3 linked regions of the Caenorhabditis elegans genome follow. The protein of the gene in region 2 purifies or fractionates together with the protein of the main gene of each other region. This does not show direct contact. Each region holds a gene or a part of one and is shown on either strand. Other genes may lie near its edges. The genes, in order: H20J04.9, M18.3 and Y59A8B.12.

What was found.
Region 1: the proteins of M18.3 (region 2) and H20J04.9 fractionate together in Caenorhabditis elegans (co-fractionation; one large-scale study listed by BioGRID). This does not show direct contact.
Region 3: the proteins of M18.3 (region 2) and Y59A8B.12 fractionate together in Caenorhabditis elegans (co-fractionation; one large-scale study listed by BioGRID). This does not show direct contact.

What each region holds. Positions count from the first base shown.
Region 1 is NC_003280.10:4,348,222-4,353,988, forward strand, and holds H20J04.9 (Methyltransferase domain-containing protein), read left to right. Parts: upstream 1-2,966; 5' UTR 2,967-2,976; coding exon 2,977-3,240; intron 3,241-3,686; coding exon 3,687-4,049; intron 4,050-4,670; coding exon 4,671-4,850; 3' UTR 4,851-4,937; downstream 4,938-5,767. Other genes in the region: athp-2 (Bromodomain adjacent to zinc finger domain protein 1A), read left to right, coding at 113-728, 1,683-2,016, 2,201-2,332; H20J04.7 (Serpentine Receptor, class Z), read right to left, coding at 5,000-5,227.
Region 2 is NC_003282.8:12,102,958-12,108,724, forward strand, and holds M18.3 (Asparagine synthetase domain-containing protein), read left to right. Parts: upstream 1-2,900; 5' UTR 2,901-2,901; coding exon 2,902-3,318; intron 3,319-4,232; coding exon 4,233-4,401; intron 4,402-4,446; coding exon 4,447-4,580; intron 4,581-4,630; coding exon 4,631-5,079; intron 5,080-5,135; coding exon 5,136-5,394; 3' UTR 5,395-5,436; downstream 5,437-5,767. Other genes in the region: mon-2 (Monensin-resistant homolog 2), read left to right, coding at 374-687, 1,638-1,822, 1,960-2,117, 2,167-2,463.
Region 3 is NC_003283.11:18,083,739-18,088,921, reverse strand, and holds Y59A8B.12 (MATH domain-containing protein), read left to right. Parts: upstream 1-2,697; 5' UTR 2,698-2,703; coding exon 2,704-2,828; intron 2,829-2,874; coding exon 2,875-3,106; 3' UTR 3,107-3,213; downstream 3,214-5,183. Other genes in the region: slr-2 (Synthetic with Lin-35/Rb), read right to left, coding at 1-54, 1,278-1,401, 1,450-1,553, 1,599-1,714, 1,760-1,789; fbxa-106 (F-box domain-containing protein), read left to right, coding at 3,795-3,840.

The sequences.
Region 1 (5,767 bases), on a different chromosome or scaffold from region 2:
TTCGATTCCCAAAACAAAACAAAAAAAAATAACTCAAATGTGACATTCTTCCGAAATTTTCTAAATAATTTATGTTTTTCCTAATTTTCAAATAATTTTCCGTCATTTTCAGACGGAAACTTGAAGCCCTCCGAACTATTCATACGTTGGCAAAGAGCACTTCTCGAATGTGAATCCCATTCAGCTCTTTCTCTATTCATCTCAACATTCGAAGGATCTATCAAATGGGATAAATCTCGTCTCCAAGGAAAATGTCGTTCATGCCGACGAAAAGCCGCTGCTCATGATCTTGTATTGTGCTCTGAATGTGATAATTGTTATCATTTGAAATGTGCAAAGCTGGATGTTAACTCAGATGCTCCAGCTGATTGGATGTGCACCAGTTGTAGAGCTCAACAGAGAAAAGTTGAGAATGAAGCAAAACGAATGGCTCGGGATGATGATCAATTGGCTGAATCTTCATCACAAGAAGATGTTGCAATTGGAAATATATCGATTAGCGATAATTTCTCTGAAATTGCTCCAAAAACTGCTGAGCCAGCTGAGAGCTGTAGCACCCCGACAACTTCTAAAGAGCCGCCAACTATTCGAACTGCAAGTGGTCGGGCTGTAAAACGAGTTCATTATTCTGATATTCATGAAGGATTAAGCTTGAAAAATCGGAAATCCAATGGATCCATGCCAGTCACACCTTCGGAGAGACCTGTTAGAAATGTTTCTGTTAGAATGTGAGAGTTTGGAATTTTTTTTTTTGACGGAAAACTTAAATTTTCTGCTGAAAAAATCGTTCAAAATGCCTTTTATGATTTTTTTTTTCAGAAGTTTCATATTGTTTGTTAAAAAAAAAATTAAAGAAAAAATTTCCTTTTTTTTGGAAAAATTGAATTTTAAATCTGAAAAATTGGTTAAAAACCGTTCAAAACACTGAAATAACTGAAATAAATTTTTTTAATTAAAAAAATTAAATTTTGAAAATTCAATGGAAAAAGTAGCATTTTCTACTGAAAATCCATTTAAAATTTGTTCAAAAAAAATTTTTTTTAAAAAGAAATACAACTTTTTTTGTCAGAAAAATTTTAAAAAGCTCAATTTTTTTTCAAAAATTGTAGAAAAAATTATAAGATTTGTTATTAAAAATTGCTACAATTTTGGACTTAATTTTCCAAAAAAACCAGCATTTTTTTTCTGAAAAATCCGTTCAAAATTTGTTTAGAAACTATATATTTTTTAAGAAATTCGAGTTTTCTGAAAAAAAAACTTTTTCCTCAAAATTTGGAGTGAAAGTTTTGTTTAAAAACATTAAAATTTAAAAATTAATTTTATAAATATCCTAAAAATAATTATACATATTTTGAAAATTCCTGAAAATTCTAAACATTTGTAAAAATTAGTGGTTTTTTTGTAGTTTTAAAAAAAATTTAACTTTTTTTTTCAAAAAAAGTAAAACATTAATATTCAAAAAATTAAAAATATTATTTTTTAAATAGTTAAAAATTCATTTTTTTTTGTTGGAAAAATTGAGAAAAAGATAAGAAATTTTGTTTGGTTTTTTTTAACCGCCAAAATTCAGGTGTACATCAATTTTTTTGAAATTTCTTAAAAGTTGGAAAAAAAATTATTTTCAACTTTAAAAGGATATTTTAAAATTCGAATTTTTTCAATTAATAAGATTTTTTTTCCAGATTTGACGTTGAAAACGAGAATGTTTTAACTGATGAAGATGATTCTGACGGTGAAAATACGCGAAAGCGAAAGACACCAACATCCAAGAAATCAGTCACATCAACACCGACTACAAATGATATTTCCCGTGTCATAATACCAAATATTAAAGAGAAAATGACATTAATTGAGACATTATTGAAAGAAGCAATGCGTCAAGAATGTTCATGGCCATTCCTTCAACCAGTTGATTCGAAAGAAGTTCCAGATTACTATGACGTCATCAAACGGCCTATGAATTTGAGAACTATGATGAATAAGATTAAGCAGAGGATTTATAATAAACCTATTGAGGTTGATAGTTTTGAAATTTGACAATATATTTGAAAAAAAATATCCAAAAAAAATTGCTTTCTGCAAAAAAATTTATATTTAAAAATTAGCATTTTTGATATAATTAAAATTTTTTAATTAAAAAAACAAAGCATTAATTTTTTTTTGTTGAATTTTTTTTGAAAAAAAACCGCCAAAATTCCAGGTTCGCAACGACTTCCAACTAATCCTATCAAATTGCGAGACGTACAATGAGCCGGAAAATGAAATCTACAAGCTTTCTCGAGAACTTCACGATTTTATGGCGGATCGTCTCGATGAGATCATCGATCAATAAACATATTCATTTCATTTTTCTGTTACTTTTTTTTCTTGAATTTCTACTTTTACCCCCCTCACCTATCAATTTTCATACTTAAAAAAAATTCAAAATATCCATATCGTAAATCCACACAGACTACACAAAATCGTATCTCAATTGTTTTTTTTCGCTCTTTTTCTCTAGCTCTCTCTCCTTTACTATTTCCTAGAAATGTACTCATTTTCTGTTAATTTTTTTTTACAATTTTTTCGTTCACATTTTCTTTCTCTGTCGGTCTTAACTCAACCGCTCCCCCGTTACAAAAATCTCAGTCAAAAAAAATTAATTTTGACACGTCATATTTGTTGTTCTTGAGGTCCCCCTGTGACTTTTCAAAACGTTATTTTAATTGTGCTATTTTGTGTCAACTACTGATGAAAGTCATTGAAAATGAACTCGTAAATTTGAAATTTTAGTTTGAATTTTCGGTTTAGGAGCAGTTTTCAGTGTAGAATTAGCACTATATATTGAATTTTAGAATTAAAAAAATCGAAAAAAAAAATTTTTTTTTAGGGTTTCTTTTTAAATTTAGAAGTTCAAAATGGAACATATAAACTTGCCATTAAAGGGGCGCGGCTTAATAATATTTTTCAAATCAATAAATTTCCAGCTCCAAAAAAATGGCTTCCCAAAAGTTAACAAAACTGTTCGCCAACTCATTTAAGCTGGCGACAAGTGATCTCGCAAATCAATACGCTCTACCGGTTAAATCAATGACTGGAATGATTGTGAGCAAGTATGGTGCATCGAAATCCAGGCGGCTCAATGAGAAAGTCGTTGAGAAAATGGATATTGGGAAAGATGATTTTCTATTTGAAATTGGATTTGGACGAGGAGATGCTATGAAAATGTGCTTTGATCGGGTTAAAGACGGCCGGGGAATGGTAGGTGGAGAGGGTGTAGGCAGGCCTGCCTGAAATGCCTGAAAATTGTAAAAATCTGTAAATCGTGGCCTAGAAAAAGCAAAAACTCGGCCACCGATTTATTTAATTTTTTTCCCACAGACTAATCTGAAACTTTGCCACCCGATAGTGGCCGAGTTTTCTCTTTTTCGCGGCCATGAAGCTCGATGCCGGCTAATGTATTAAAAAAAAACCCAGTCAGATGCACCATGTCTTCACTTTCGCGGTGTGCATTTTGCCACGTGTGGCCTAGAAAACAACTCGGCCACCAATTTTAATCGTATGTTTTAAACAAATTTTTACACCTTCTAGGTGTCCCAAAACAACCTCTTTTCTCGGCCGTGGCCGAGTTTTCTCGCCTCACGGCCACGTAGCAAATCTGATCATTTTCACATTCTCTTTTTCTCTCTAACACCTAAAATTTCCAGGTATTCGGTGTTGAAAGATCCGGCTATATGAACGAACGAGCCATCAAACGATTCGTTCTGGAAATCGCCGAAACCGATAAAATCCGCATCGATTCGGCAGTTGATCTACGGAATCTACCGTATCCCACTGATCTATTCAATCATGTATTCCACGTGGATCTCTTCTATTTTCTACAACAAAATGCACTGGTAAACATTAATCGGGAACTGCTGAGAGTTCTGAAACCCGGTGGAACATTGATTTGTGGAATGCAATTCGATCGGTTGAAGAAATTGACGGAAAATCGAATACTTGAGGAGAATCAGTGGGATCCAATGAGATATCTGTGGGCACTGGAAACGGCGGAATTTAGTGATGTTAAAGTGCTTATTATATTGAGGAGCAAGCGCGCTCCACTGCAAATTGAAAACTCTCCGCCCCCAAACCATGGGTCTCGTTAGGTATTTGACTCCAAAACCGTAAATTCGAAAATTAAAAAAAACTTCAAAACTACAGTATTCCTACAGTGTCCTTACAGTACTACAACAGTACTACTATAGTACTCCAATAGTACTACTACAGTACCCCTACGGTACTCCAATAGTACTACCACAGTACCCCCGTAGTACCCCTACAGTATTCCTACAGTATCCCTACAGTACTTCTACAGCACCCCTATAGTACGAATACAGTATTCCTACAGTGCCCCTACAGTACTCCTACAATACTCATATAGTACTACTACAGTATTCCTACAGTACCCCTACAGTACCCCTACTCTACTTCCATAGTACTGCTACAGTACCCCTATATTACTACTACAGTACCCCTACATCCTACTGTACCCCTATAGTACTATTACTGTACTCCTACAGTACTACTACAGTAATTCGCGGTTCGGCCGCCAAATACCTAACGAGACCCATCATTCGGGGGCGGAGCATTTCCATTTGGCCATGGAGCGCGCTTGCATCACGATTTCAAAAAGCAACACTAAATTCCAGATCAACTACCATAAGGACCCCCAAATTGGTGAATATCAAATCATCTCGGCTACAAAATCTACTGATCCTCTAGCTGGACAAGATCCTGAAGAATTAATGAAAAAATTGGCGATGGATATGAAGAAAGAACGACTGGCCGAAGCGATGATGAATGATAAAAAGAATTTTGAAGATCTTTAATTTTTTCGGTTAAAAATGTTTTTTTAAAATAGGTTTTTAATGATTTTTTGTTGTTATTTTTCGCTATAAAAATAGGTACTTTTGAAAATTTGTTTGGAAGAGTAACATTCTTTATTAGTGTGAAAAATTGGAAAAAAGTTTAAAAAAATTCAAATTTTCGCGCCAGTTTCAACACTAGATTTCCCATGCTCAGGTCCCGGTGCAATTTTATTTCTGAATATTCCACTAAAGTACAGATTCAGTAATGGCATGGATATTTCCGGGAAATGATTGAAAATTTGAAATGTTGATGCGAAATGGAAACGAGCATCGCCTTCCTCAGAATCTTGTTCGAAATATTTTGTCTTCATAAGGATGTCGTATGGAATTATTATAATCTGAAAGATGTTAAATTATATTCCTACAGTACACAACTATAGTACTACTACTGTACTCCTACAGTACCCCTACCGTACTCTATAGTATTCTTACAGTACTCCTACAGGACCTCTACTGGACCTCTACAGTACTACTACAGTATCCCAACTCAATATCCCTTCAGAAGACAACATGTTTTTCCAAAAACTACAGTATTCCTATTATCAAAATATAAAAACTGTCACATAAAATTTGACTACAGCGACGCACGCGAAATATTCGCTCTCGATTCTAGAAACGTCAGTTTTTGCGCTGTATCTTCGCATTTTCTCGTCTCCCGTTTCTGTCATCACCCGTGGTTCCAGCTGTTTTTACGGCATGAGGAATCGAGAGCGAATATTTCGCGCGCGTCGCTGTAGTCAAATTTGATGTGACAGTTTTTATATTTTGACTTTACAGTATCCTACGTTACCCCTAAACCAATATCCCTTTAAAAAAAGTATTTTTTTCCAAAACTACGGTAATCCTACAGTAGTTCTACAGTATCCCCATATAACTCT
Region 2 (5,767 bases):
TCGCAAAAATCGTACATATTTTATTAGTTGATCTCGCGTTAATTTACATGCTTGTCAAAAAATTTCAATTTTAGACAAATCGATAGACGGAATATTTTTGTTTTTTCGCTGGGAAAATCGAAAAATCGAAAAAAAAATCTTTATTAAGTAACCACAGTTGGTACCAAAAACATTCAATTTTTATCGTATTACGGTTATGCGAAAGAAAAAAAATAAGAAAAATATAAATTTCTTTGAAAAATAAGATTTTAGCAGAATTTGGCTTTTTTCGAAATTTTGAGAAATATTATTTTTAAATTCGCCCTTCTGAGACCATGTTGGGTATAACAAAGCAAAGAATTATTTAATTTGAATAAATAATTTAAATTTTCAGAGAGACTACGCCCTGACTACAATTGTTCCATTTTCCGAATATTCTCTCCGAATTGCAATCGAATTCTTTACTTCAACATCACAGAATCCAGAAGTTGCCAACTCGCTCATTGCTATTGATATCATAAAATTCCTCGGAGAACCACTTTACATGAAGTACACTTGTATCTCTGCAAGTACTTGGAAACTTGCTGCAACTTCTCTGATGTCTGTCTTGAGAACATCCATTCCATATGCTCGTCAGAATCCAGAAGTTTTTCGAGGTTTATGGTCTGCAATTTGTGATACTATGGAAAGATGGCTTTTTACTCCAAAGTAAGTTATTTTAGATTTGATTTTGGAAATTTTCAACAAAAAAAGTCTCATGGGGAAAATTAGTATAGGTGTAATAGAAGGCTTCTTCAGTATTAATTCGAAAGAAACATTTAAATAACTTTTCTTTCAAATGCTTGATTTTCTGAACTATCGAAAAAATTCTGTTTCAAAAATATACATACTAATTTTAGATTAAAGCTTTTTCGATGACTTTCAGATAAATTAAGAACATTTAGATACATTTTCCAAGTCTCATATTTCGAAAAAAAAAATCAAAACATCAAAATTTACAAACTAATTCAAATTTTAAAAAAATTGAGAATGACTACAATTCAAAAAAAAACAAAAAAAAATTGATTTTTCAAAGGTACACATACTGTATTTTTGAGGGAAAAATCGCAAAAGCTCGCAATATTTTTTTTGCTGTTTGAGACTCGAAAAACCAGCATTTTTAGTTTAAAAAAAAATAATTTTAGAAGTATTTCTATATTTTTTCTACAGCTGTATTTCGTTCCAAACCCGGCGTTGTTTGCCTTTAAAATTTATGTTTCACTTGAATAGAATTTTTTTTAAATCGTGAGCTACAGTAATCCTTTAAGACGAATAGTCTCTTGTATTTGCAAAAACTGGTCGTGTCAAGACCAGGTACCGTAGTTTTTGGGCGAAATTGCTAAATGTTGAATATGGATCAATAGTTTCAATCGAAAATATTCTTCAATTTTTTCGGTTTTTCGAATTTTTTTCAGAGAAATTCAAAACATCGATTGTTAGAAATTTGAAAAAAAAACACTTGTGTTGAAAAATGTACGAAAAAAAGAAAACTATATATTTTTATTGAAAATATGTAATTTTCGTTATGGAAATTTTTAAATTTTTCACTCTTTATATAGCTTAAATAGAAATGCAATTAATTTAAAATTCTAATCTTTGATTTTTCGCTGCGGTTCTAGCAAGTCAACGAGACTGGCAGCAGACGAAAGAAAACGTGATGAACTAATGGAATGTCAGGCAATTGAAATAATTCGAAGTGAAATGCTCGCATATGCATCCCGTTTACCACAAGAAGATGTTCAACGGCTGATTGCACTACTTCATCGTGGCTCCATTTCACAAATCGATTCTACAGATGTTCTTGGTAAGTGCTCGAGAGAAATCGTCTTCTTTTTACTTCTAACACTTCTCACAAAACTAGTTGGTGTTGGTATTCCTTTCCACATTTCTCCATTCTGATTGCATGTTTTCGGTGTACTCGGTAACAACCCTCGAATTCAGCTTCAGACTCGCATACTCAACGAAATGAGCTGGCAAAGGCCTGTTTTGATGCTCTATTGATGTCATCTGATGGAGCACATACAAATACTGAAGAAGACGAAGGAAGAGGAATTCTTGGAAATGTTGCTGTGACAAGTCTTTTACAAAGATGCACACAGGTAGGATCAAAAATAGGTCCGATAAAGACACAAACTACTCTGATTTTAGGTTATGTCTGATTTCTGCAAAGATTGGTCTGCTGCTGGAGATCTTCGTTTACCTAGATCCAGAATACTAGAAATCATATCTGCACTTCAAGCTGTTGACTCACTAATTGCACGACTTGCAAGAGATCCAAAAATGACTGAACTCTACTCGCACTTAGTTTCACTATTTCCATCGGTTGTTGATGTGATGCCTTGCTGCCATGCTGATCCTCAACTGGAACATCAACTGATCAAGACAATCAAATCATATCAAACACTCTTCCTTCTTCAAAATATTCCACAAGCCACCGTGGAATAGCCACGTCACCCTCCAGTAGCCATATTTATTTTATTTATTGGTTCCAGTTTCACTCTGTCTTCATTTAGCATATGGGTTATTAAATTATCGACTATCGATCGACACACAGTTGCCTTTATCCTATTTTTATTCATATTCTTTTTTTTTGCTTCAAAATCTTGTATAGTTTCGAGTACTAGTACCCTCAGAATAACGAGTTCATTTTTTTCTGTGATTCAACGCAAAAACACTTCCCGCTTCTTTTTTTTGATGATGATTTACTTCAATCGATATCCCGGACTATTATGTTGTGAGATAGTGTCTTTTTCATTCTTTGTAGTAATAAAACTATCCAATTTTAAATGCAATGACTTTGAAACTATTTTTTTTTTCTGTCAATATTCTGAGATTTCTTATTGCCAGTTATTATGAAATTTGGAAAAAGAACTGAAATTCAGAATGGGCATTGATTACAATCGATGGTGGCATTTAAAGGATGAAACATTGGGCGAGGAATTAAAAGGATATATCAAAATGATTGAAGAAGATTATCTTGTTTATTCTGGAACCACCTCACAACTTCATGTTTCAAAACTCTCAAATGGATCAGTTAATAGTATTGTTAATGAAATTCTGGAGCAACAAGGATCCTGGAGCATTATTTATTATAATCAGAAATTGAAAAAACTTTTCATTGGAAGAGATGTTTTTGGAAGACAATCTTTGGTTTTTAATTTCGAATCGATGATTTTTGGATGTAGAACAAAGCCAGAAACATCTGGGAAATGGATTGAAATTCCATTCGGACAAGTGACTGTTTTTAGTCTTGATTCAACTGATCCAGTTATTTATTCATATCTTGACGAGTATCCAGAGGTTTGTGCAATTTTATATGAAGTACCGCCAGTGGAGAATTTGCCTGAATATTCTTTTTTAAAAAACCGAAAATTTTCCGATGAACTGCTGAAATTCGGAAAATTTTCAGAATTCGTAAAGTGTTGAAATGTCCGAATAGAAACTTTTTAAAAAATTCAAATTTCAAGCAAGAATTGGTGAATTCTCGTTTTCTTCATTATAATTTCGGATGTGTCGGTAAAAAAGTGGTTTTCTACGATTTTTGAATTCTAATCATAGTATGGTTTTTTTTTCAAACATTCTATTATGAAAAACCTGAGAATGCATATTGCGCAACATATTTGACGCGCAAAATATTTTGTTGCGAAAACTACAGTAATTATTTAAATGACTACTGTAGAGCTTGTGTCGATTTACGGGGCTCGATTTTCGAAATGACAAAAATACTTTATTTATCGATTGAATATCAAAATTCAGCAAAAAATTAGAAAATCCTACGAAGAAACGAAGGAAAATTTTTCGAAAATTGAAAATCACTGTCGATATTCGAAAAAAAAATCATATCGAATTTCAAGCCCGTAAATCACCACAAGCTCTACAGTAGTCATTTAAATAATTGATGTAGTTTTCGCTTCGAGATATTTTGCGCGTCAAAATTTTTTCGCAATAAATACACATTCTCAGAATTTTGTGTTCCCGTAATAGGAGTTCAAACCTGCCACAATGCTCGAAATTCTTCAAAACGTCCAAATTTAATACAAATTACCAAAACATTGATATTTATACAAAATCCCCACGGACGATATTCTACCTAATACAAATAAAAATATAATTAATTAGTTGAAAAAACAATTCCATATTTTTAAAAGTTTTACTATATTTGATGCTTAGGCATTTATTACTTATTTCTGACAATAAATGCTATATCATTACAGAATGTATTGGATGGCTACTTTTCTGGGTCGGATATCTCTCGAATTGTGGTCAACAAGAAACATGGATTATTGAATGTTAGTAGATCAACTGGAGGAGAAATTGACTCATTTAATACCAAAGATCTCTTTCAAAAAGTTATCGATGCGACTAAGATTCTATTGAAAAATTGTTTGTTTTTTCTAATGAAATCGCTTTTATAACATCTAACTTTAGATCATGAAAGCCACGTGGCAGTATGCTTGTCTGGAGGTGTCGATTCTACATTTGTTGCTCATGTTGTACATTCAAGTGTTCCAGAGAATATGCAAATTGATCTAATTAATGTGGCATTTGGTAATAGTGAGAAAGTGAGTTTTTATTTTAATTTAATATCGAATAATAAATCTATATTTTATAGGAATGTGAACAAGCACCTGATCGTAAACGTGCCAGAAAGGCGCTGGAATCATTTCGAACTGCATACCCAACTCGCCAATTTCGCCTCATTCTTGTCAACGTTGATAGCCAAACCCTCGAAGTGAATCGCAAAGAATCTATCTCAGATGCAGCTCAACCAGCGAGTTCAGTACTTGATGACTCACTGTCTTGTGTTCTGTGGTTTGCTGTCAGAGCCGAAGGAGTTGATAGTGAGAATCAACAATCAGTGAGGTCACCTGCAACTACATGCCTTCTGGGATCAGGAGCAGATGAACTTCTTGCCGGATACGCAAGGCATCGAACTCGATTTGAGAAGGAACAAATTCCAGAAAATGTAGCGGAAGAATGTGAAAATGAATTGCGAAGGCTGGGATCGAGAAATGGAGGAAGAGATGCTAGAGTTGCTGCTCAACTTGGGAAGACCATTTTGTAAGTTTTCAAAATCTCCTAATAAAAAAAATAATATGATTTTTGTTATATTTCAGATCTCCACTTCTCGAAGATACCGTAGTCACTTGGCTCAACGCACTTCCAGTCGATTCCAAATGGGATCTATCATTGCCACGTGGAGTTGGAGAGAAACAATTGCTCCGAGAGACAGTGAAAATGTTGGGATCCCCATATGATGCTCCGAAACAGGCAATGCAATTTGGATCGAGAATGGCAAAAATGAGCAACGCTGGTGATAATTCTATCAAAGGAAGTGATAAATCTCCGCATTTATTGAAAACTGATGTGAATTGATGTTTGAATGATTACTTGTTGAAAAATAAATTGATAATTTGGGTACTGTTAATAATAACTTTCTTCCACATGATAAAGAGGATGTAATTTCAGCAGAAATGTAGATTTTTCCTTTTTTAAGTGATCGAAAAAGGCGAAAACGGTGTTTAAGTTTTTCAAGGTAACTTTGCAAATAATTAGTTTTTTCGCTTCCAAAACTCGTAGACTCTTGGATTAAATTTAATCAAACAGAACACTACATTATTTCATACCTTGTATTTGAATGCGCCTCATTTCAAGTCGTTTCAGAATATATTCAAGAAAATTTCCCCTTCAAGTATAAATTTGTAGGTTTCTGTATTGATGTTACGAATTTCTTGTAAATATTGGAAAA
Region 3 (5,183 bases), on a different chromosome or scaffold from region 2:
TTACAAATTCGAAATGGGCATCCATATGTTGCTGAAAGTCCCGGATGACGTTGTCTGAAAATAGAAAAATTTATAAAAAATCGTGAAAAAATCGCAAAAATCAGCGGAAAACTGTATTTTTTTGCTGAAAATCGGAAAAAAATCGGAAAAAAATCGGCGAAAAATTCACGAAATACCCGAAATTCCGCCGTTTTCTGTGCAAAAAATTGGAAATTGAAAAATTCGGCCAGAAAACTGACTTTTCAGGCCAATTTTCACCTAAAAATTCGAGAAAGCACTGATTTTACACGTAAAACCCAGGAATTTCATCAATTTTCCCTTTTTTTCGCGGAAAAGTCGAGATTCGGTGAAAAAATGACTGAAAAGTCGATAAAATTTGCAATTTTTCCCGTTTCCGACGGGAAATTCAGCTTAAAATGGCAAAATTCATAGTATTTTTTTTTCTATTTTTGGCGGGAAACTGAAGAAAATTCGAAATTTTAGGTGAAAAAATGAAAAAACCGCAAAAATTTCCAGATTTTTCGGTGAAAAATGGCGTAAATCAACGAAAAACTGATTTTTTTCAGCTAAAAATCGCTTTTTAGTGAGAAATTAATGAAAAAAATGGCTGAAAAGCCAAAATTTTGAAGGTTTTAGAATGAAATTCAGCAAAAATTATGAAAATTGTCGAAAAATTTCCACATTTTCCAACATTTTCAGCGTTTTTTCAATGAAAAACCACGCTTTTAGAGAGTTTTCCCGTCGAAAACGCTGAAAATGTTGGAAAATGTGGAAATTTTTCGACAATTTTCATAATTTTTGCTGAATTTCATTCTAAAACCTTCAAAATTTTTCGGCTTTTCAGCCATTTTTTTCATTAATTTCTCACTAAAAAGCGATTTTTAGCTGAAAAAAATCAGTTTTTCGTTGATTTACGCCATTTTTCACCGAAAAATCTGGAAATTTTTGCGGTTTTTTCATTTTTTTCACCTAAAATTTCGAATTTTCTTCAGTTTCCCGCCAAAAATAGAAAAAAAATAATATGAATTTTGCCATTTTAAGCTGAATTTCCCGTCGGAAACGGGAAAAATTGCAGATTTTATCGACTTTTCAGCCATTTTTTCACCGAATCTCGGCTTTTCCGCGAAAAAAAAAGGGAAAATTGATGAAACTCCTGGGTTTTACGTGTAAAATCAGTGCTTTCTCGAATTTTTTGGGTGAAAATTGGCCGAATTTTTCAATTTCCCATGAGCTTTGAGCCATTTTTCATCGATTTTTCCAGGTTTCCGTCCACTTACTGGACATGCTGCTGATATCCAGCAGGTTCCATGTACGCATCATCACAATAGGGACACCGATATCCCCATTCAGCTTTTGGAGTGTGATTTCGGAGTTTATGACGGTGTAGAGTCATTTGGGAGGCTGAAAAATCAATTTTTAGGCAGTTTTTTCGCGAATTTCCGCCAAAACCTGCAGCATAAACGCAATGTTCACATTGAAATGGCCGTGATTTGTTGTGAATATTCATATGCTCTGTATAACTCCGTTTTGACGATAATTCCTTCCGGCAAACTCTGAAAAAATTGAAAAAAATTCGATTTTTTCCAGAAATTTCTCACCCGCAGGTCCAAGTCTGCTTCATTGTCCTTCCATTCGAAGTTTGTCGGAATTTTTGAGTCGTCGGAAGTGCCAAATTCGATGGTCCCGGCTTCATGATGAGATGTTGCCAGTTTTCCTGAATTTCTGGATTATTTACGGAAATTCCCAGGTTCCGACTCACTTTACTGACGAAATGCTCACTTTTCGACATTTCCGGTGGTCTGAAAATCAAGAAAATCGATTTTTTCATCAAAAAACTCGAAAAAACATTGGAAAAATGAGAAAAATCCAGAAAAAATGACGAAAAACCGAGGAAAATAGGCGAAAAATTCAATGTCTCGAAAATAATGCAAGTGCGCTCCATTGGACTCGAAACGGTGAAATGCGCGCGAAATTCGAATTGGAAGAAAAATTTCGGTGGATTTCAGAGGTTTTCAGAGGTTTCAAGCTACCAAGAAAAAAAAATACACTTTGAACATTAGAAAATGTGTGGGAATTTGAAAAATAATTGAAAATCACTTTAGAAGCCCGAAAATTAAAGAAAATCGTCAAGAAAGTGGATTTTAACGAACAAATGACGAAGAAATCTTGAGAATTTCAATTTTTACGTATCATTTCAGTATTAATGTCGATTAATAAACATTTTTTGCCCAATAAAGTCAATTTCCAAGTTTCCAGCGAATAATCTCTGAAAATGCACAATAGGAAAACACAGAAAATATATAAAATTTGTCGTTTTTATTCATATTTTACAATAATCTTCAAAATTAGATGAATTATTCAATAAAACACGCTAAAGTCAAGCAGATATTCCTGCAAATTAAATTCAAATTCAAATTTCCCGCAGTTTTTTCAAAAGTACGCAGTACACCGCGACGCAAAAATGCACAAATCATCATTTTTTCGAATTCGGCGGCGCATTTTGAAAAAAAAGTCTTTTTTGTCCGTTTTTCAGCGAATTTTTTGCTTTTTCCATAGTTTTTTGCTTTTAATTTGAAAATCTACGCTAAATTCTAGTAAAAACTGTGCAATTTGCCACTTTTCCCCCCCTGAAAACCAACATTTTTGAGGTTTTTTCACCTTTTCTCCCAAAACTCGAGTAAAAATTTGAATTTTTCAGCAAAAATGGCCGATAATGGGAACGAGGAGGACCGAAACGGCTACATCATCAACCGAACTCGATTTGCCGCCGATTTTCACAACAGAAATGAAGATTTATCGGAATGGGAAGAGATGCGAGGCATCGAATGGTACTTTTTATGCCAGAAAACTCCCTGAAAACCTTAATTTTTCCAGGGATCTCATTCTTCACAGCGACGGAGGCCAACTTTACACACAGCTGGTCACTCGTTCTCGGCTACAATACGAAATCCCATGCAAATTCCTGCTGGAAGCTCAATATGGACAAGTAAAAGTCGGAGAAAACTTTGATGTGACAGTTTCTTCACGGAATCATACATTCGGAATGCGAATTGACCAACCTGCTGACAATGGAGCCATCAAGATTACTGCTTATATTGATTTCTGAATTTCCACTTGAATTTATGCAATTTGTGATATATTTTTAATTGTAACTATGTGTATACTTTGAATTAATTTCTTATTCTGTCGATTATCAGTGAAATATTGAATTTTAACCAATTTTATGATTATTTTCTCAAGTTTTCCGTAAAGGAAATCAAATATTTCGAAATAAATTCTGTTGGAGTACTGTAGTCGGCGAAGTACGCAATATCAAGTGTTTGCGTACTCGGCATTCTAATTGACGAGCTTCTGGCTCATTTTTAGATTTTCTTGGTTGTTTTTCACTTAAAAGTAGAGATTAACGTTTAAAGTGCGATTTTTTTGCTAATTTCTGCTGAAAAATAGAGTGTTATAACAAAATGTTTCTTTTCGTATGATTTTTCTCTTATTCTTTTCAATTTTCTGGCAATTTCCCTTGGTAAGAACATTTTCGCCAGAAAAATGACCGATAATTTGGAAGAAAAAATGAATTCGTTGAAAATGTAAGAATTTTACGGTTTAAATTGCCACATCTACTGATAAATTGAGTGGACTGAAATTATGAGAATTTGACGGATTTTCAGTGAATTTAACTAAGAAAAAATACACTTTCTCGAATTCAAACCTAAAACTTTTTTTTCAGCTCCAACACGGCCTCTCTTCATTTCAAAAAATAAATCAAATTGACGTGATGAACTTTCTCTGTGTCTCTCATGGGCGAGAGAGTGAGCTTTTTGAGCCGAATTTGTACTGAAAACGGTAAAATAGGCCGGAAACGGCTGATAGTGAACAAAATCTAATAAAAATTTACTAACTGCCTGATCAAACACATAGAAATTATATGAAAAAGGGCAAAATTGTAAATCACCTATGAATACGCCCACATGTGAAAGTTCAAAATTAGTGATTTTCCAGACAAAACTGATTAAAGCCGGCGATTCGCTGATAAATCTTTAAGTTTTTTATTAATATATTGTCAATTAAGACTAAGTGTATCTATTTTTATGCAAATATCTAGGTTAGTGATGTTCACGACGCCGGCAGACGGAAAAACAAAAGGCTACCTCAAAAAATGGATTTTTTCGGGACCTCTAGTGATCCTTGAAAAGAGAAATTTGAAAATTGAAGGCCACCATTTTGTAGATAATTTTTTTCTGATTATTTTCTGTTTTTGATGAAGGTTTTTTGATGAAAATTGACGTCGGCATCTTCAAAACAAGAATTAGGCCTGAAAACTCCAAAAATCGTTAAAAAACGACAATTTTTGGCGGGTTTTCCTAATTTTACGAGACGCACCAAGACATAATCAAAAATTCAACCTCACCAAAAGTTGCAAAATTCTCTAAGGAAGAGATTAAGATGTCAATCACCTGATTTGATCAAAAACTGATTGAGTAACTTCAGTTTTAAGACAATGCGATTGTAATTTTTGGACAACCGCAAGCATAATAGTTGATGTGAACGCTTTTGAAAACATATAACTCGGTAACCAGAAAAGCTATCAAGAAACTTTGAACTACAAAAATAATCTTGATAACACAAGAAACATTTTCTATGTTCATAATACTTGGCTATTCTCACAAAATACATAGTTTAAGCTATGTAAAGATTCAATGCTTTGAAAAACTTTGATAGAGATACCACGAAGGTATTCGAAATTATCCGTTTGCACAATCATCTCAAAGAAGCAAAAAATAACAAAGTCTGGATTAGTACCGTCTGATACCTTTTTCATATGTCACTTTTTGTTTTTCCCGTACGGGATCCCGTCTTTACAGTCGGCAACCGACTGAAACCGAGGCCACCAATGAATAACTCAGCTTGTGAACCCTGCCGGGAAAGTCTCATCAGTTTTCCATCAGTGTACGACAAAAAATATACCGTATTTCCTCTATTAGTCTTGCAGCTTCTATTAGTCTTGCACCCCTATTAGTATTGCACCCCTACGGACCAATCGAAAATCAGTCATGCGGACTCTATTAGTCTTGCACCCCTACGGGTCAATTGAAAATTAGTCTTGCATTCAAGACTAATAGAGGAAATACGGTAATTGGGTACGATAGGAATACGGTAGGTTTATAAGTTATGTAAGTTTCTACAAA